Linked DNA regions of Arabidopsis thaliana. The protein of the gene in region 1 interacts with the protein of each later gene in a pairwise test. Each region holds a gene or a part of one and is shown in the gene's direction. Other genes may lie near its edges. The genes, in order: BPC1, AT1G17310, NST1 and AT3G46600.

Region 1 (5,103 bases):
TCTCAATCATAAGTTTTGTTACTTTAACACATTTTCTCTGTTTCAATTGTAAATGCCATATGTATTCCTTCCTTAGCTTGATCGCTATTCGCTACTAGTTGTTTTTATTTTTGTTATTGCCGAATAATAAATTAATTTGCAGATAAAAGAAACAAAAGATACCTCATAATGTTTTTTGTCAGTTGTCAAAAATTGGTTCTAAATGGACCGAAAGGAAAAACAGAACAAATTAGACGAGAAGATGTGATCGAGTTACTACGGTGACAGCTTTGTATAAAGGAAAGAAATGAGATCGTGTTTGTAATCATTTCCTAAGATGAGATTACTCTCCCATCTCTTACTTAACCCTTTGCTTATCGATTATTACCACTGATTAGATCTTTTCTAGCTGATACATAATGCATGATATTTATTTCGGAGCTACAAAATTATAAATTTGTAGTTTCTAATCGTTATATATGGACTTGAGAGACCACAACATCTTAAATGAATGCAAAAATTCAAAAAGAAACAAAAACATGTTAAATGAAATACAATAGTCTGATTTTTAATAGTCAAAAATAAATCGACAATGGCCTAGTGGTTGATCCAAGGTTAAAAGTTATACATAAAAGTTGAAATCTAAGTTTAATGTATAAAAATATTGAGCTCTTTAGACCTAGTTTTTGGACATTCAGGTATATTTACCTAGGATATATCTCACAAATATTAACTATATAATCAAGATAAATTCGAATAACAATGGTAAACTATTAGAAGTTAATTCAAGAGAATGAATAAAATAATATAAGTAGGAGATTTGAGTTGGAAAGAAGGATCAAGTCACATGCTCCAAATTTACAAAGCAAAGAAATGCCATCATCTCCCCCAACTCCTCCCTTTGATTCTCTCTTTATCTTTTCTTTTTATCTTCAATTATTAATGTTTTTAATAATAAAAAACCATATATATAAACATAAAATTAGTTATTTATCTGAAAAGAACATTCTCAATACATCATTACTCATTTTATTCGGATATTTTGGTCTCATGCCTTCATTCTCAAGTTTCGCATACATCCATAAACTCTATAAAATGTTGCCAAGAAAATAAACACAATGTGTATAATTGTACTCAATCTTTCAAATCGAATTAAGATAAAATACAACTTCAGTCAACAAAATTTTTTTAGTCAAAATGTACGTGTGTAATTATAATGTTGGCTACTCAATTTAAAATCAAATTAAGTTGGTGAAACAAAAAAAAAGTGGTTATGGGCCGAAATGATTACCGGCCTTGAATATGAGTCCACTGGACGTAATTTTGATATTAAGTATTTGGGTCTCTTATCTCTTAAATGAGTCGCATATGGGCCAGTTGTTGAGCATTATCCATGGAAATCAAAAAGTTGCATGGAAACAGAGACTTTAACAAAAAAAAGCTTCTTCCGGAGATTCATACACATAAATCTCTATCTTCATATCTAGTGTGAATCCAGCTATTGGAAATCTTTGGATGTTTGATCAAGTGTTGAATTTCTCTGTTTGGATGTTGTACATCTTCTTAATTAGTTACATGCTTAATCTTCTTCTTGTTTTTTTTTTTTTGAATACCAGAACATTCTGAACCAAAGCCGTAATTTCCGAAGACCCAAAAGTACAACATGTAACGCGACCTCTAAGCTTTGCCTAGAATATTTACCAATTAAAATAATAATATTTGGTTAATCTTCGTCTTGTTAGCTCATACGTCAGACAATGAAAACAAAAGGTAATTGATGTTTTCATTACTTGAGGATTAGATATTGGTCAAGCTTAGTTGTGGCTATGGGTTAAAGACTAAGATCTCATTAGTAAAAGTGGTATTGAGCTTGCCTTCTCAATGCTATGACAAATACTGTATATTTTATCAATAGTACAATGTAAAGGATAAGGAGAAGAAGTGGGCTTTGATTTTGTTTTTGTCTTCTTCTTCTTCTTCCCCCAAATCTCTTTACCCTACAAATAACCAAAAATAATCTCTTCACCAAAAATATTATATTAAAGTGTCATTTTTAGGATTTTCTAAGAAGAAAAAAAAAACAGGGAAGATCTTTTTAAGCTTCTCTTTCCTCTCTCTTCTATCTTTCTTTCTCTTTCTCAATCTCTCTCAGGTTTCTCTCTCCTCTCTCCAGGAGGTCAAAAAATTCTTTAAAGAGCCGTTTAGACCAAACCCATGTAAGAGATTTCTCTCTCATCAATCTATGTCTCTTTCTCTCTCTTTCGAAAATTATCATTTGCGTCCTCTTTTTGTACTGTTTACTTTGTCTTTCCCATTTCTAGCGATCTTCTCATCGAAGCTTATGACTAATAAAACTCGAGATCTGAAACATTTCTCTCTCAAAAAAAAAATCGAAACTTTATGCTCTGTTTCTTCAGATCTGGTTCTGGGTTTCTCAGATCTAGAGCTCTGCAATATGGGTCTCAAACAAAAATTGAATTCTGATTACAAAAACCCTAATTTTCGTTTCTGGGTACCTCAAAGATCTGTGCTTTCGTTAGAAAATGGATAGATTTTATGTTAATTTCATGGAAATTTCGATGAATTCGAGGTTTAGAATCAGATTCAACCACAAAGTTATAAACTTTTACAATTGTGTTCTGTTATTGTTTTGGATCAAATTGTGTTTAGATTTGACTTTGAATGGCATTGTTTGTAGTTTTATAATCATCAATGGACGATGATGGATTTCGCAATTGGGGATACTATGAACCAGCGGCTGCTTCTTCGTTTAAAGGTAATCTCGGTTTGCAGCTTATGTCTACTATTGACCGGAACACTAAACCGTTTTTACCCGGTCGTGAATCGAATCTTATGATCGGTTCTAACGGTTCGTATCACTCTCGAGAGCAAGACATGAACTATAGCTGGATTAATCAACCAAAGGACAACAAGTTCTTCAACATGTTGCCTATAAGTACACCGAGTTATAGTAATGTGTTGTCGGAAACATCTGGTTCGAATTCGATTCAGATGATACATCAACCGGTTTTGAATTCATCCCGGTTTGAGGAGAATCCGATTCCTCCTCCTGCTCCTTGTGAAGAGCAGACTGGTAAGAAGAGAAAGATGAGAGGCAGCATCGCAACACCAACGGTACCGAAAGCTAAGAAGATGCGTAAACCGAAAGAAGAGAGAGATGTTACTAACAACAATGTTCAGCAGCAGCAGCAGCGTGTGAAACCGGTTAAGAAGAGTGTTGATCTTGTGATTAACGGTGTGAGTATGGACATTTCTGGTTTACCTGTACCGGTTTGTACTTGTACTGGAACTCCTCAACAATGTTACCGTTGGGGTTGCGGCGGATGGCAATCCGCTTGTTGTACGACTAACATTTCGGTGTATCCATTACCGATGAGTACTAAGCGACGCGGTGCAAGGATTTCGGGTAGGAAGATGAGTCAAGGCGCGTTTAAGAAGGTTCTTGAGAAGTTATCAACAGAAGGTTATAGCTTTGGGAATGCGATTGATTTGAAGTCTCATTGGGCTAGACATGGAACCAATAAGTTTGTCACGATCAGATAAAGTTTGAAAAGCTCTTGTTTTTCTTCATTGATCGTGTATATAACAACAAAACTGTGACCTTTGTTTTTCCTTCTTCTTCAAGGTAACTTCTTCGTTTTTAGGGCTTGATCATATCTTAATTCATATTCTGTTTTGTTTGTTTGAAACTATTTCATTCAGCTTTAGGTTTGAAATGTTGACTTGTAACATTAGATGTTGTTTTGATAAAAAATGTTGTTATGTTAAACAATTTTAATGAAGAAGAAAATCTTTTTATAAGATGTTTCAAGGTTGTTTATTTGCATTTTTACCTTATCTTATACACATTAACATACACAGATGTACAAACAACGTTAGACTATAACATGATTAGCTACTAATTACGTGATTAGAAGGTAAGAAAATCTGATGGAGTATTAGAGCGCTCCTCGCTGGTCACCAAATCCACCATATCCGCCGCGGTTACCGGCGTTACTTTTGCGGCTTTCCAATCTAACTCGGGGGCGATATGGAGAAGCTTGTCGAGAACTATCATTTGAGATTCCGTGATTCGCAAGATATTAGAGGTTTCTTGAGCGTTGGTGACACCAAAACCTCTACAGAATTCGAAATACTTGAAGAGTTTTTCTCTCTGCGACAAAGATTTCGCCACGATATTCATCGCCAAATCCGCCTCCGCGGACGATATCTCGAGCATATTCGACTGTACATCGGATAAGAAACCCGCGAATCCGCGGCATATATGACCGTTAATCAAAACAACCTCGCTGATTACATATTCCATAGCTTCGATTACAAGAGGTGTTTCACCAATTGGTTTGATTCTCATCAATGAATCAACTATTCGTTGCATCTTAACGATAATCTCTAATCGAATCATGTTCTTGTTATAATAGAGAATCGATCTTTCGTCAAGAAACATGAAATAAGCGCGAACGAAGATGTTAAACCGACCGGTTCTACTAAACCGAGATTTCCTTCTCCCGAAACCCGAAAGATCGAACGGTAACCGTCCGATCGAATCGACGGTCATGATTCCGGAGAAGAACAAGCCGTGCAATAACATCAAACATTTCAAAGCCACCGTCCAGTTACGCGTGTGTTCCACGCGTAACGAGACGGCGCGTATAATTGGTTTGAAACTGGAAGGGTTGCTCTGTATGTATCTATAGATGAATTGAACGTTTTCGATGTCCATTGAGACATCGTTATGACTCGTCGCTTTGATAACCGCCGCCGTGAATTTTTCATCCGTCGCGGTGATGAGACTGAGTTTGTCCTTTATAGCTCCGGAGACGCGTCTCCACAACTTCATTTTTCGTCTCATGACGATGTTTTAGTTGTTGATGTTTTGTAATTATTCTACGAAGATGATTTGGTTATGATTTCAATTTAGACTTTTAGTTGTTGTAACAAAATTAGTTTCTTACTTTGAAACATTTTTTGTCAAAACGCAAATTGAGAGTTTTTAGTATCTTACGTGTTACGTTATGTATCTGTAAATTACAATTAGCACCTTTGAGATAATTCATATAACAAACAAAAAAAATGAAAATTTGGCGGGTAGTTGTAAGTGTTATC
Region 2 (4,480 bases), on another chromosome or scaffold:
CATTTATCATTTTTAACTTTTCAAGTTGACCCATCCCACTCTTCATAGAACTCCTTAAGATACTCTTCCATGAACTTGTGCCTTTTCTCTGCCCTCCTTTTACCCGCCTGATATGTTTTCAATCCACATTAAATCTCAAATCGAAACAAATTTTTCGCGTCAAAATAGAGTTGCGGTTAAACTTACCTCAGTTTTCATCAGCTTCTTTAGCTTGAGGAGTTTCTCATGAAAGTGATTAATAGTAGTTTGCTCCTCTCTCTTAATGTACTGCTCTTTGGTTAGCTCTGTCCGGGGCTTGATCTCAGGATCATGAAGCACTCTGTTCCTGCTTCCACCAAATGTAAAGCAACGAGCAATTCCTATAACAGAAAGAGATCAACAACAACTAATAGCACAAATTCCATAACATAGAGAATTTTCACATGACATCAAAGCAGATATTTGGCAATGACATATCAAAAGCAACTAAAGAAAAGAGACGTATTCTTACCTATGGCGCCAATTGCATCAAGGCGATCAGCATCTTGAACTACCCCAAATTCTGGAAGAGACTCACAGAGTGCTACTCCTGCTAATTCGTCTTTAAAACCTGGAAAGAATACACTTGTTCTGTTCACAAATTTATATACAACAGAATGACTTAATTGTAGTGATAAATCATGTACATTATAGTTGATTGGATATGTTGAGTAAAAAGTAGGAGCTGGAAACTGACCCATTCCATTGATGATCGTTAGTATCTTCGTCTTCTTGGTCTCTTCTATACCCTCATCATCTAGGAAATTCTCAACAAGTTTCTCTTCCGAAGGGTCTCTGAATTCCGGTTATAATTATTTTTGCCATGAAGCAACATATCAGCGGAAGGAAAGCAATCTTCAGCATTCATAGTTAAGTAGTTTTTATGTTTATATCCACACCAAGTTCCACTTAGTAGAGCCTAGCAATCCTAAGGTAAGCAAATCTGACAAGGAATTCTCACAAGCTTTACCTAATGGCATTCGCAAACAAAACACTTCCAAGTTTCTTTATTCATCCAGTTTAGATAAAACAAAGTTAAAAGCAGGGAACTTAGAGAGTTTCATGAGAAAAGTAAACACTTTTGTTTCCTGGAAGTGTGATCAAGAATGTTGGAAGGGACATTACTAGTCTATACTCAAGCGGTTCAAAAGAAAAGAAAACTTAGAGAAACAAACCTTATGTACTTGTAATCACCTGATAAGAGAGAGGGCAAGAGATACGAATTATGATCAACCTGTGGACTAGAACCACATTACTAAAACAGAAATGAAAATAAAACCAAGTACCTATATCATGGAGAAGAGCTGCAAGCTCCACCTGCAAAGTATCAACAGAAATGGTTCACTCTAAAGTAAAAGAGCTGAAATTTGACAATAAACAGCTATAGCTAACTAGAAGAACTAACTAGAAGAAGGTTCATCAGGCTCAGCTGAACTAGAACTTTGAGATTTAGGGATTTTTCAAACTCACAATTTCCATGGAGTCAGAATTGGAAGAGAGACCTTCCTCGCGAGCAATGGAGAGAGCAAGGTCTCGGACCCTCCACACGTGCCAGGCGTCATGAGAAGCATCGTTTCCTTTCATCGCCTTCTCCACCAGCTCCTCCGCCTTCCTCATCGTCTTCGCCGCCATCTATCTCTCTCTCTCTCTCAACTGCTCAGTTTCGAAGATTGGAGAGATTTTGATTTTGCAATTTCAGCGTCGGAAGCTCTGTTTTAAAATTGATTCAAGTTTGCCGTCTCGGCTCGACGTTGACCACCGGAGTCAAAGAGAAATTCGGGGAAGGAATTTACTCATTTTACCTTTTTACCCTTACGTATGAAAGAATTTATTTATTTATGTTTTTTTAAAAAATATTTAAATTTACAGAGATATTTTCACATATTATTGTAGATTAAACTACACAAACTTTGCCACTTTCTGTTAATTATTTTAAAAATCTCTGTACTGATTGTTATAGAAAACCTATTCTTTACATTAATCGCTGGCTATATAGTACTGATTTGTCAAGTTGAAAGGTCGATTTATATAAACTTATGACTTTTGGATACATTTTTCAAAACAAATTTGATCCATTGAAATGGAGATTGTCTTTGGTGTTTTCCCTAGTAAGATTTCAAGGTTTATCTTTGTCCCCGAACCTTTTCAATTGCATTGGTTATGAAGTGGTTTATCTGCTTTGGTGTTTATAAATATTCGGGATTTTAGTTGTTTCTAGAGAGGTAGTTCAATAATTGATTATTTTCCAAGTTTCTGTTCTTAAACTCTTTTTTTTTTTTTTTTTTTTTTTGTTCTATGGAATAGATTGTAATCAAGTAACAAGGATGTCATCAAATCACTTCTTGGCCACGAATGAGATACTTAATTAATTTGAATATGTGATCAATTTGTCACTTAGACATTTTACCGTGATATTTGGAATTCTTAAATATCATATGTGTAATTTGAATATGTGATCACTTCTTGGCAAGAAGACGTCATATACTCATATGTTTTTCTTCTGCTTGGCATGACATAATTGTTCTACATGCTACGTTTGTATATGTGTACGTGATAGTAAAAAGAGATTCGTGTATATTTAGGTAGACTATGCATATATTATATAAATATAATGTGTATCACAAATTCACAATCGATTATTCAATAAACGACTAAAATGGAAAGTAGTATCTCGGATTTTATATTATTTCTATAACTTTTGTATAAGACAACACATGTCTTACATTTTTACGAGAAGCTATCTTTGATTCATTGAATCATTCCGAAAAATATTAATTAATTGGAGGTGCATTTAATACAACATTCCATAAACGTACGAAGAAAAGTAAGACAAATTAATTCCTTTATTATTACATAATCATGAACGACTATAAATCCCTCGACCAAGGAAAAACCTAATGATATTTTCATCTCTCCCCTCTCGGTTAGTCATGAAAGATTTGTTCATGGAAGGAGAAAGAGAAACTTCATCGATGACTTGCTTGACGCCCAAGGATTCTGTTCAAAGCCCTAACATGTTGGTTAGACAACCAAAAAAGGAGACAACAACACAAACCCCTAAAACGACACGAGGAAGACAGAAGATAGAGATCAAGAAAATCGAGGAAGAGACCAAGAGACAAGTAACGTTCTCGAAACGCCGTCGTGGGCTGTTCAAGAAATCCGCTGAATTGAGCGTTCTCACGGGCGCAAAAATCGCCGTCATAACGTTCTCTAAATGCGATAGGATCTACAGATTTGGCCATGTAGACGCATTGATAGACAAGTATCTTCGTAAGAGTCCGGTGAAGTTGGAGGGATATTCCGGTGATAACGCGGCGGATGAGGAAAGTAGGAGACCGTGGTGGGAGCGTCCGGTGGAGAGTGTGCCAGAAGAGGAGCTTGAGGAGTACATGGCAGCATTGAGTATGTTGAGAGAAAATATAGGGAAAAAGATTGTGGCGATGGGTAACGATCGGACGGTTGATATGGTTCCGGCATGGCCAATCAATGTGATGGGATGGAAACCAACGATGGATATGCAAAAATTGGAAAATCTGACGGATGGGGTTAATCGATGCCGTGTAGGTCAAAACGGTGATTGATTAGTCCAGTCGTGAAGTATTCCTCTAATGAATTTCTAAAATATTTTATTTAGTTTTGTTAAGTTTAATTATATGATTTTATGCTATTGATCATCAGATTGTTTCATCTCTTGTATACTTCATACTTTGGAAATTCAGTTGTTTGGATTTTTAATCTTTGAACCATACATATTACATAATGTAGAACAGTATTCTATCAGTTAAACCAGCTTTCAATTTTTTTTAAGATTTGACCTGCACATGTACCATATTTATATACCACATGAAGTATTTTTGGCAGATTGAAACTGCATTTTCTCTTGGTCGTTTTCTTATTTTATGTAAGGCGTACAAGAAAAAGCAAATAACGAAGGAAACAAGTGATTCTTACAATTAAGAACAAACGGGAAAGGTTGGAATGCTGGTTCCTTAAAACAAGGAAACCAAGTCACTCTTATTTATTTGCACGACACAAATTGACACAGAATAATAACATAGACTAAGTCTTAGCTTAATCCCTAAACATGCAATTAGGTTTTCTCTTTCACGTGTTTGACCAGCCGACTCTCTCAGGCCTCAACACATCCAGTCTCATCATTGACCAATGTTGATAATTTCTCCACGGACAGCATACTCATATTTGAGAACCTGTGTGATCATTTATATCCCCACAAATAAAAATCAGAAGCAGTCAAGAAACGTTTTAAGACATCAGTCTCTAGAGTGGAGTCAAGAAAAACCGACCTTGGTATTGATGGAGTCAAGAGTTACGGGAAGAGAGGAAGAGGAATCAGAAGCAGAGATATCGGAAGAAGAAGCAGACAAGTGACGCGATGAAGAAGCAGGAGTAGGAGTAGGGACTCTTCGGAAGCTATCTTTTTCTCCTCTAACTGATGCTT
Region 3 (5,533 bases), about 19 Mb from region 1:
TTCGTACAATTTCACAATGAAAAAAACGAGTACTAAATATTGTCAATCAAACATATGAATGTACAAAAATCCATAAACTCTACCAAAATAGAATGAAGATTCTGAAATCAAACCTACTTTTTCTTTTTAATTATAAATTCAACTATATTATAAATTTATTTATCACAAATAATAGAGGAGTGAGAATATTTTAGACAACGCAAATTTCTTTTATTTAGTTCTTATACTTTATTTTTTACCAAACGTTAATTAAAAAAATCACACATACATAATTTCTAAAAAAAATGTATTCTTCAAGTAATATATCTTTCTGAGTACTAGTTTATCTATTTATCTCCGTATTTAATAATCAAAAGTTACGTTTAAAATAGAAACAACTTTTATCAAACAAAATATATTAGAAAACGCATGGTACTGGCTACTGGAAAGAATCATGACCTGTAAATTTCTACAGTTTTCCCGTTTTATATAGTACTTAGAAACTTTGGATTTTCATAGCGCAACCAATAAACACATGGACTTAAGACACAAAAAAAGTTGGGTGCAATGTCATTAATCAAACTAAAAAAATAATGATTAAAAGCATGGAATTCCGAAAACGCAACAAAATGATTCTGTGTTTAGACAAATGCAGAAAGGCCTCTTAACTAATCTTAAATAAAGTCTTAGTTCCAACCACATAAACACTCCTTAGCTCCATTAATTTTGGTTTTCTTAATTACGTTTCTACACAAGTACACGTACTTACACATACAATTCCACAGTCTAAATGATAAAACTATGTGGTTTTTGACGTCATCGTTACCTTTCTGTCGTCTCACCTTTATATAGTGTCTCTAACAGAACGTAACAACCAAATGTTTAAAAAAATAAAAACAGCACCCCTTAATTAGGCTCATTCGTTTTGCACTAACCATACTACAAATCATCTCGAACGATCGAGCAAAGATTTGAAAAATAAATAAACGTATAACTCTAGAGATTTTCATTAGCTAAGAAAAGTGAAATCGATTGTTAATCCTATTTCAGACGGGACAGGAACACTCATTACCCAACTCTATCATCTCTCGAACACCAAACTATATCTACCGTTTGGGGCATTATTTCCCACTTTCTTTCGAAGACAATTTCCCATATATAACATATACACATTATTACTAATATATTTTTATAAATTTTCGTCACATCCCAAAAAAAAACACTCTTTGTCACATCAACTAGTTTTTTTGTAACGATCAAACCTTTTCGTTTAAAAAAAAAAAACTTTTGTAGTGTAAACGTTTATTTATCGATGAAAAAAGCCACATCTTCCGGAGGGAAACTTTTTAAGACACCCTATTTCGACTTTATTTTGTAAATACAGTGTGCATGTGCATATAAAGAGAGATATCATTTGTATAAATATCAAGAATTAGAAGAGAAAAAGAGAGAAGAAGACAATCTATTACTATTACGATGTGTGGGTTGTTAATTTGTTTAAAGGGAGCTTTTCTATAGAGATTTTTAAGGTCAAGGGTCATCGTTCGATGTGGGCTTGCTTCCTACAATCTAGTTGCCTTACGGGGCCTACTCTTTTTCTTTTGATAACTACATCACCTTTTTTTTCTCCGACAACTATATATCACTTTTTTTATGTTTTCCTTTTTTTCTTCACAATAATTCTTTACTCGTTGCAAATGTAAAGATACACAAAGTTACTTATTTTGTTTACGATGGTTCTTAGTAGTTTAAAGAATTAATGAATAAGATAAACCTAAACTTTGAAAAGACTAAAAAAAATGTATAACAACATACATTATACGTATTTGAAATAGTCCAAGTGATATTATGTCATTGATATTAGCACAAATAATTACGATGCCTGATATTGTCACATTTGATGATTTTAAGTTCTTGTAAAAGATAAGTGTAACTAAATCACTATAGTGAGGCCCACGTTTTAATTTCTAAACTAATTACAATGACAATAAAATAGCAAAACTATTTAAAACTAGACGCCAAAAAAAATTGAAACTAATAATTGTGAAAAAAGAACAAGAGAATAATAATCATTAATAATTGACAAGTGAAATTAATATATTGCTCTTGGAGGGTTATATTTTAATTTTCAAACTAAATAATGAATACAAATGGAAAAGCTAATGATAAGAGTTGAATTTTAATAATTAAGAAAAACAAAAAAAGGTGTACAAGGAGACACATGCGTTTTCCTCATGCATCTTGTTTTTATACAACAATATATATATATATATTGAGTCATTCTCTGCTAGCTCTCTCATCTCCAACTTTCAGTATGATATATAGTTACAATTAAATAAACCTCACATGCTCTATTCTTGCTTGATTTTTGAGTTAATCTTGAATCTCTTTGATGATGTCAAAATCTATGAGCATATCAGTGAACGGACAATCTCAAGTGCCTCCTGGGTTTAGGTTTCATCCGACCGAGGAAGAGCTGTTGCAGTATTATCTCCGGAAGAAAGTTAATAGCATCGAGATCGATCTTGATGTCATTCGCGACGTTGATCTCAACAAGCTCGAGCCTTGGGACATTCAAGGTTTATTTCCATAAAGAAATTTTTTATGAATTAATTTTCTCTCTTTCACACTCTCATAATCCAATTTTCCGAATTTATTAATTTTTCCATATATATGAAAGTGCTGTCTTGTCTATACTACTTTCGATTCATGACGTGATCTCATGTATCCTTTTACGAGAATATGACTAGAGTACAGAGAATCTACACTTAGTTGTTGATGTTGTTTGTTCATATTCGGAGTTAGTTACTGCAAAGACCAACATAGGTTTGGTTATTATACAATTTACTATTTAAGTTTTTTTCTTCTGATTATTTTTGTCGTTATGCAGAGATGTGTAAAATAGGAACAACGCCACAAAACGACTGGTATTTCTTTAGCCACAAGGACAAAAAATATCCGACGGGAACGAGAACTAACAGAGCCACTGCGGCTGGATTTTGGAAAGCAACTGGCCGCGACAAGATCATATATAGCAATGGCCGTAGAATTGGGATGAGAAAGACTCTTGTTTTCTACAAAGGCCGAGCTCCTCACGGCCAAAAATCTGATTGGATCATGCATGAATATAGACTCGATGACAACATTATTTCCCCCGAGGATGTCACCGTTCATGAGGTATGTATTAATTCCATCATAACCTAAATACGAGTTATTCAATCAAAGGATTTGGTCTCTTTTTTGAATATCTCATTTTACATCACAATCTCGATTTTGTTTTGATTAATTATTATTTCATTGACCATTATAAAAGTTGTTACTGATGATAAGATGTACAAGTAAAAAATATCATGTAATTAATATATATATAAAGGTAATTAATATATTTTAAAAAACAATATTTATGCAAAGTATGATCGTAATTTTCTTTAATAACATTATGAAAACTATCACATATTCGTTTTCGTTATTATTTTTTTCTTAAATTCCCAATATTTAATGATAATAGTTTTAGTTACTTCTTCCCACAAATATTTCTTTTCTCCTTTGTCATATACAGACGCACATGAAACTGAAATATGAATTTTCTTTTTCTTTTTGGTTTTAACCTAAATGGGATTAGTGCAAAACATGAACTTTGCTAATATATCTTAGTTGATTTTTGAATATTTAAGGTCGTGAGTATTATAGGGGAAGCATCACAAGACGAAGGATGGGTGGTGTGTCGTATTTTCAAGAAGAAGAATCTTCACAAAACCCTAAACAGTCCCGTCGGAGGAGCTTCCCTGAGCGGCGGCGGAGATACGCCGAAGACGACATCATCTCAGATCTTCAACGAGGATACTCTCGACCAATTTCTTGAACTTATGGGGAGATCTTGTAAAGAAGAGCTAAATCTTGACCCTTTCATGAAACTCCCAAACCTCGAAAGCCCTAACAGTCAGGCAATCAACAACTGCCACGTAAGCTCTCCCGACACTAATCATAATATCCACGTCAGCAACGTGGTCGACACTAGCTTTGTTACTAGCTGGGCGGCTTTAGACCGCCTCGTGGCCTCGCAGCTTAACGGACCCACATCATATTCAATTACAGCCGTCAATGAGAGCCACGTGGGCCATGATCATCTCGCTTTGCCTTCCGTCCGATCTCCGTACCCCAGCCTAAACCGGTCCGCTTCGTACCACGCCGGTTTAACACAGGAATATACACCGGAGATGGAGCTATGGAATACGACGACGTCGTCTCTATCGTCATCGCCTGGCCCATTTTGTCACGTGTCGAATGGTAGTGGATAACGGAAATGGAGGGAAAGAGAGAGAGGCACACACACATAAGACATTTCACATTTGTGTAAAAAGATATAATCATACCATATAGTTGTTGAAACATATAAAAGAAAGTCAGATTTGTGATAATTACAGTGGTTATGTGAAATATTGTAAAATAGATTAATATAAGAATTTAAAAGAGGAGAATAAAGATCTCAAAAAGGAGATATTTCGTTATTGTTGGGGAGAGCATTACATTTCATTATAATAATCAAAATGTCTTCCATTTAATTTTATAGTTTTCCTTCTAGAAGAAAAAAAAAACATATTACGAGAAGCTTCGCCGCCCCGCCTAGGGTTTCCAGTTCCGGTGGCTTTTTCAGCACCAAAACCGGAATTTCTTTGTTGTAATCTCTTTAGTTTCGTTTTCTTGTGGGTTTAATGTGATCTGAATCCTATTTTCTTCCAACGGTCTCTGTTCTAAATTCACAGATCTAGATCTGTGAAGTCTAAATCCTTTGCTCTTCCAGTTTTGCTGCTTGTTTGTCTCCTTCGTCTGCAGCTTCAGTTCTGGCCGTTCCAACCATGGCAGAGGCAGGTTCATTTCGATCTTTCATCGCCTCAGATGCAGATCTCTCTCCATTGAAGATCTAGTTCTCCTTCCTTTCTTCTTGAGACCTTGTCCTTTGGGTTTCGGGGTGTTGTTTGATGTCTCACCGCCGTTTGTGGTAAGGAGAGTCTTGATTTTATTTTCTTTGGTTAGATCTCTAGTCTCAGATCTGTTTTTTAAAATAACTTTGGATTTAGACTTTGTTTTTCAGTTTTGAGTTTTTTAGTAATGGATCTGGGAAGTTTAGGTTTAGTATCATTGTTGTTATTTAATTTGGGTTTTTCCCCTTTAGATCTATCTTAGTTCCCGGGAGATGTATTGTGCTCGCCGGCTTAGTCTTTGGAAGGAGTGTTTTCCCTTGCCAACTTATATAATTCAACTCTTGTAAGGTTCTAATCCATCAATAAAATTTTAATTTTCTGTGAAAAAAAATAAAAAAAATTATAAGCCCATAATCTTGAAAATAATTTAGAAAATATAATTAAAAATTACAAGAACTACATAATATTTTACGACCAAAAGGCGATAGACAATTTTGATACAAGACATTGTGTCTTTTCTAGCCATATATTATAATACACTAATTATCTTCATAGATACATATTAAAATATGTGTTTTAGTAGGCACAGAAATTGATGGACTATGTTATCTTAATTAAGTACTATTAGTCGT
Region 4 (5,498 bases), on another chromosome or scaffold:
CTGGCTCCTCGGCCTCCTAACCGTAAGTTTAAAAGGACTGAGCAGCAGCTAGCTGCACAACGCAGAATTCGTCGACCTTTCTCAGTTACTGAAGTAGAAGCACTGGTCCAAGCCGTTGAGAAACTCGGAACCGGAAGGTACAAAACAAAGAAATAGCACTTTCTCTTCTTCATGTTGCTGACAAAATGTGTTTGAAAACTACAGGTGGAGAGATGTGAAGGTTCGTGCTTTCGAGGACGCAGACCATCGTACCTATGTTGATCTCAAGGTTAGTTAGTTTTTTAACTAACTCTTAACCTTAATATATACAGTTTGGTATTGAGTCTTTGCCTTTGTAGGATAAGTGGAAGACGCTGGTCCACACGGCAAGGATATCTCCACAACAGCGGAGAGGAGAGCCGGTGCCACAGGAACTTCTGGACCGTGTTTTGAAGGCACACGCTTACTGGTCACAACACCTAATGCATCAACTGCAGACTGAGCCACCATCCACTCAGGTAGAGGCTCTCTAATCTGAACAGGTTCTTGGTCTAAAGAACCTTTGTGTATTATTATGATGATCCATATTGTAAGATTCTGACATAGTTGAAGATCTGGTCTCAGTTCTTCTTTGTTTTTTTTTTTCTTTCTTTCAAATGTAAAGTTTTATAATTGGAAATAAGGTTGGGTTTTTTCTAACAATGTAAAGGATTTGTTGTAAATCTTTGGTGACATTTTTATTCTGTCTATATGATTTATGGCTCGGCCTATCATATCACAACGACAACGAACTGATATATATATACCTCATCCAAACTCTAGGAGTGCTGGAGAATTCAATTGTTGGATAAATTGTTACTCAAGCTGGTCTATGTTTGGTCAGTTTATGGTTCACATGTGTCCTATATTAGGAAAGAATACACAGAAGCTTGTGCTTGTGAGTGGTATGTGTGCTATGGTATTTACCTTAAATACGGGTCGTTCAGAGTAATAAGCTGGTCTCAAAGCCTCTTTTAAAGGCTATAGCCACAAACAAAGGCACAAAATCCTGGATCTCTAACCAGTAAAGAAGTCGATGTTGAACTAAAGTTCGCAAATATTTGCAGATAGCATTGAGTAGGCAAGCTCTTCCCACTTTTTTTTTTTTTTTTTTCACTGAACTGTTGCCTTTCATTGAATATTGGAGTTTGTGAAAAAATTTAAAGCAATTAGCAATAAAATCAAAAGGATATTGAAGTTTACATTTGGACCTGGACGAGATAATAGAGGATAACGTTCAATTTATTAGAAGTTATGATGACTGATATATTTACCGATTTAAAACTAATATATTTAGCAACTTGACGCAGCAAGAAAATTATGATTCTTAACTAATATACACCATATTATATATATTTAGAAGATTTAATTAATATTTAAAATTATGCTTTTTATTTGATTTTGTTTTAAATCGTCATATAATACATAAAATAAAATCAAAAAACAATTTTTTTTTATACATATATTGTGATTTTTAATTTTAAACACGGACACGTATTACCCAATTGACAAAATAATGTGTATGTTTAATGTTCCACATTGACTAAAATATTTAGACAATGATTCAGAATCATATCATATAATGAATATTTACAATAATAAAATAACTGGGTTTTTGTTGGAATGGGTTTTGCGGAACGGATTTTTGAATCTACATTAATAACAAATTAAAATATCATTAATCTGCCGTTTCAATACATATTAAATCTTTTTTTTAACACCACTAATATTATACATATCAAATCAGTCTGATTTAAAAAAATATATATAAAACCAAAATGTCTCATGGTATAATGTTACTATATAAAAATTGTAAATTATAAAATATTAATGTCTTAGAGAATTGTATAATTTTCAAACTTTTATATATAATAAATAATCATTAAATTTTAAAAATCACTACTTAAAAAAAAAAAAAAAATCAAGGGACAGGTTATACAATTAAGATTTACATCTTGTTTTTTTTTTGGAATTTTGGTGATGTGGTAACAGACTACTAAATAGTTTACGCGTATTATATGCAAAATAAATTATCAAACAAATATATTGTAGTAAATTATAAAATTTACTATATTATTATTTAAAAACTGAAATTTGCTTGTGTCTTGTAGAAAAAAAAACTGAACCAAAACAAACTTAATTTACTTCGAAGTTTTATATTTCGTTATACAAAAAGAAAAAGTCTAAATTTCTAAATACATTTAGAAAATATATTCAAGGTAATAACTAATAAGTCAAATATTTGACCAGACAAGTGACCAAAAGGAAGACAACAACAAGAAAACAAATAGCTTTTTAGCCATTTGGACCCACGACAGTAGATAAAGTCTTGGACATATTATTACTAACCTTTTGTGGCGGCTTAGTGTTTATCTTCAACCCCACACATTCTCTGTTTCCTCGAAACTTCATTTTTCTTCTTTGCCAAGACAAAGATTAAATAAGACAAATATCAACCCTATCCTTTGTTTATATCAACAACATCTCGCAACTTGTGTTCACATGAAACTTCTCACTACTCTCTTTCATTTCCTCTTTTCGTTGACTTACTAAAGTACTCTTGTTTCAATCTTCATTCTAGAGAGATTCTGTTTCATGGATGCTATTTTGCCAGTACCCGTTGATGGGTTCAGATTCGACACCGGTTCTGGATCTTGTTGCAAACCGAGGAACAATCTTGAATCTGGGACGACCAATCGTTTCACTTGTTTCAACGAATCTGAATCTCAGAGCAACCCTTCTCCGACCGAGTCTAAGGTATGTTCAGATTACCTTCCTGTCTTTAAGTACATCAATGACATGTTGATGGAAGAAGATCTTGAAGGTCAGTCTTGTATGTTGGAAGACAGTTTGGCTTTACAAGCCGCAGAGAGATCTTTCTTCGAAGTGCTTCAAGATCAAACTCCAATCTCGGGTGATCTAGAGGATGGTTCTCTTGGAAACTTCAGTTCTATAACGAGTTTGCATCAACCTGAAGTTTCAGAGGAGTCAACCAGAAGGTATCGACATAGGGATGATGATGAAGATGATGATCTTGAGAGTGGAAGGAAATCGAAGCTCCCTGCGATTTCTACGGTGGATGAGTTAGCAGAGAAGTTTGAGGAAGTGTTGTTGGTATGTCAAAAGAATGATCAGGGAGAAGCAACAGAGAAGAAAACAAGACACGTAAAAGGCTCATCGAATCGATACAAGCAGCAAAAGTCAGATCAGCCAGTAGATATGAGGAATCTTTTGATGCAATGCGCGCAAGCTGTGGCGAGTTTTGACCAGAGAAGAGCTTTTGAGAAACTGAAGGAGATAAGAGAACACTCTTCTCGCCACGGTGATGCGACTCAAAGACTTGGTTATCACTTTGCTGAGGCGCTTGAAGCTCGTATTACAGGAACCATGACTACACCAATATCTGCTACTTCTAGCAGAACATCAATGGTGGACATTTTGAAGGCGTACAAGGGATTTGTTCAGGCTTGCCCCACCTTAATAATGTGTTATTTCACTGCAAACAGAACAATCAATGAGCTTGCTTCCAAAGCAACCACACTTCACATCATTGATTTTGGGATTCTCTATGGATTTCAATGGCCTTGTCTGATACAAGCTTTGTCAAAACGTGACATCGGACCACCACTGCTCCGTGTGACTGGTATCGAGCTTCCTCAGTCAGGTTTCCGTCCATCAGAGCGGGTAGAAGAGACCGGGCGAAGACTAAAGAGGTTCTGTGACAAGTTCAATGTCCCGTTTGAGTACAGTTTCATAGCCAAGAATTGGGAGAACATAACTCTTGATGATCTGGTGATCAATAGTGGCGAGACAACAGTTGTCAACTGCATCCTCCGGCTACAATATACACCTGATGAAACCGTGTCCCTCAACTCACCGAGAGACACGGCTCTGAAACTATTCAGAGACATCAACCCTGACCTCTTTGTGTTTGCAGAGATTAACGGGACTTACAATTCACCCTTCTTCCTAACAAGGTTCAGAGAAGCTCTCTTCCATTGCTCGTCACTCTTTGACATGTATGAGACCACATTATCAGAAGACGACAATTGCAGGACACTGGTGGAGAGGGAACTAATCATAAGAGATGCAATGAGTGTGATAGCCTGTGAAGGGTCTGAGCGGTTTGCAAGGCCAGAGACCTACAAGCAATGGCAGGTTAGGATTCTAAGAGCAGGATTTAGACCAGCGAAACTAAGCAAACAGATAGTAAAGGACGGGAAAGAGATAGTGAAAGAACGTTACCACAAAGATTTTGTGATCGACAATGATAACCACTGGATGTTTCAGGGCTGGAAAGGAAGAGTCCTTTATGCTGTTTCTTGCTGGAAACCTGCTAAGAAGTAATAAAACAGTTCTGTAATCATTTGCATAATTTTGCTAGCTTTCCATTTCTTTGTTTTTGGTTTCAAAGTGTTGTAGAAACTGTTTGCTCTCATATATATTGAATGAGTCTCTCTCTTTCTCTCTACTTTCTTGCAAGTACATATGGCAAACCAAGAATTCAAAACTTATTTCAAAAAGATCCATAACTTTGAACTGAACAAACCAGTTTGCATATCAATGTGTCTGATGATAATACAGATGTTGTACGAAGATAAAAATTCACAATATAAACAGAGAGACTAGACAAACTAAAAAGAGTATTAAAGAACAAGAAAGTGATTACTTGGAAACTTTCTTCTTCCCTGTAATGGCAATTTTCTTGCCTTTAAGGGTCCTTGGATGCGCCTTACCCCACGGTAACCTTGTACAATGTGTTTTCGTCAGACTAAGGTCTATTCTTTTTGTCTGGTCGAGGACCCAAAAGATTAAGATCAATGGTGGCTCCATAAGTCTCAGCTGATTTAACAACCGCATCATATGGCTTAGAAGAGAGTTTAAGCCCTTCGTTTTGAGCCTTCACATGTAACTCATAAGCAAGCCTTGGCTTTGCATCATTTGCAAGAGCCTCAATCAACATCTCGTAAGTTATCTCGTTAGGCTCAACATTCTCACTTTTCATTCTATGAAACCACTCATAAGCCACACCACTTAACCCGTTCCTCGCGCAACCACTTATAACCGCGTTGAAAGTCACAACGCTCGGTTCAATACCCTTTGAAGCCATTTCCTTGAGAAGGGTATCCAAAAGATTGAACTTTTGCTGTCCTGTCAAAACTGAAGCCATTGTTGTGTACGCGTAAAGATTTGGCTCAATCCCTACCTTAATCATATGGTTCCAAACCCGAAACGCCTCATCATATAGCTTCCCTTTCTCAAGAGCACTGAGTAGTGCACCGTATGAGATGACCGTTGGCTTTTCACCATTGTCAACCATTGCTTTAAAGATTTGGATCGCAGCTGTGGTCTCAGAGGCTTTTGAACATGCTACAAGAACCGCGTTCCAATGTCTCCTCTGCGGTTTCAATCCTTTATCTTCCATTTTGTTAAGTAACCTAACTCCCCATCTCCATATCCCTCTCTTGCTAGCTGCACTC

Evidence for each region.
Region 2: the proteins of BPC1 (region 1) and AT1G17310 interact in a two-hybrid assay, tested with the Arabidopsis thaliana proteins (one large-scale study listed by BioGRID).
Region 3: the proteins of BPC1 (region 1) and NST1 interact in a two-hybrid assay, tested with the Arabidopsis thaliana proteins (one large-scale study listed by BioGRID).
Region 4: the proteins of BPC1 (region 1) and AT3G46600 interact in a two-hybrid assay, tested with the Arabidopsis thaliana proteins (one large-scale study listed by BioGRID).

What each region holds. Positions count from the first base shown.
Region 1 is NC_003071.7:425,798-430,900, reverse strand, and holds BPC1 (basic pentacysteine1), read left to right. Parts: upstream 1-2,000; 5' UTR 2,001-2,691; coding exon 2,692-3,543; 3' UTR 3,544-3,787; downstream 3,788-5,103. Other genes in the region: AT2G01920 (ENTH/VHS/GAT family protein), read right to left, coding at 3,911-4,849. UniProt on the Arabidopsis thaliana protein: Transcriptional regulator that specifically binds to GA-rich elements (GAGA-repeats) present in regulatory sequences of genes involved in developmental processes.
Region 2 is NC_003070.9:5,927,136-5,931,615, reverse strand, and holds AT1G17310 (MADS-box transcription factor family protein), read left to right. Parts: upstream 1-2,782; 5' UTR 2,783-2,915; coding exon 2,916-3,602; 3' UTR 3,603-3,691; downstream 3,692-4,480. Other genes in the region: AT1G17330 (Metal-dependent phosphohydrolase), read right to left, coding at 21-107, 187-359, 491-589, 716-813, 1,194-1,212, 1,305-1,335, 1,489-1,650; AT1G17300 (uncharacterized protein), read right to left, coding at 4,176-4,229, 4,326-4,480.
Region 3 is NC_003071.7:19,219,661-19,225,193, reverse strand, and holds NST1 (NAC (No Apical Meristem) domain transcriptional regulator superfamily protein), read left to right. Parts: upstream 1-2,277; 5' UTR 2,278-2,371; coding exon 2,372-2,558; intron 2,559-2,869; coding exon 2,870-3,156; intron 3,157-3,653; coding exon 3,654-4,277; 3' UTR 4,278-4,469; downstream 4,470-5,533. Other genes in the region: AT2G46765 (uncharacterized protein), read right to left, coding at 4,630-4,854. UniProt on the Arabidopsis thaliana protein: Transcription activator of genes involved in biosynthesis of secondary walls.
Region 4 is NC_003074.8:17,155,435-17,160,932, forward strand, and holds AT3G46600 (GRAS family transcription factor), read left to right. Parts: upstream 1-2,489; 5' UTR 2,490-2,613; coding exon 2,614-4,365; 3' UTR 4,366-4,531; downstream 4,532-5,498. Other genes in the region: TRFL1 (TRF-like 1), read left to right, coding at 1-137, 205-268, 339-512; AT3G46610 (Pentatricopeptide repeat (PPR-like) superfamily protein), read right to left, coding at 4,790-5,498. UniProt on the Arabidopsis thaliana protein: Probable transcription factor involved in plant development.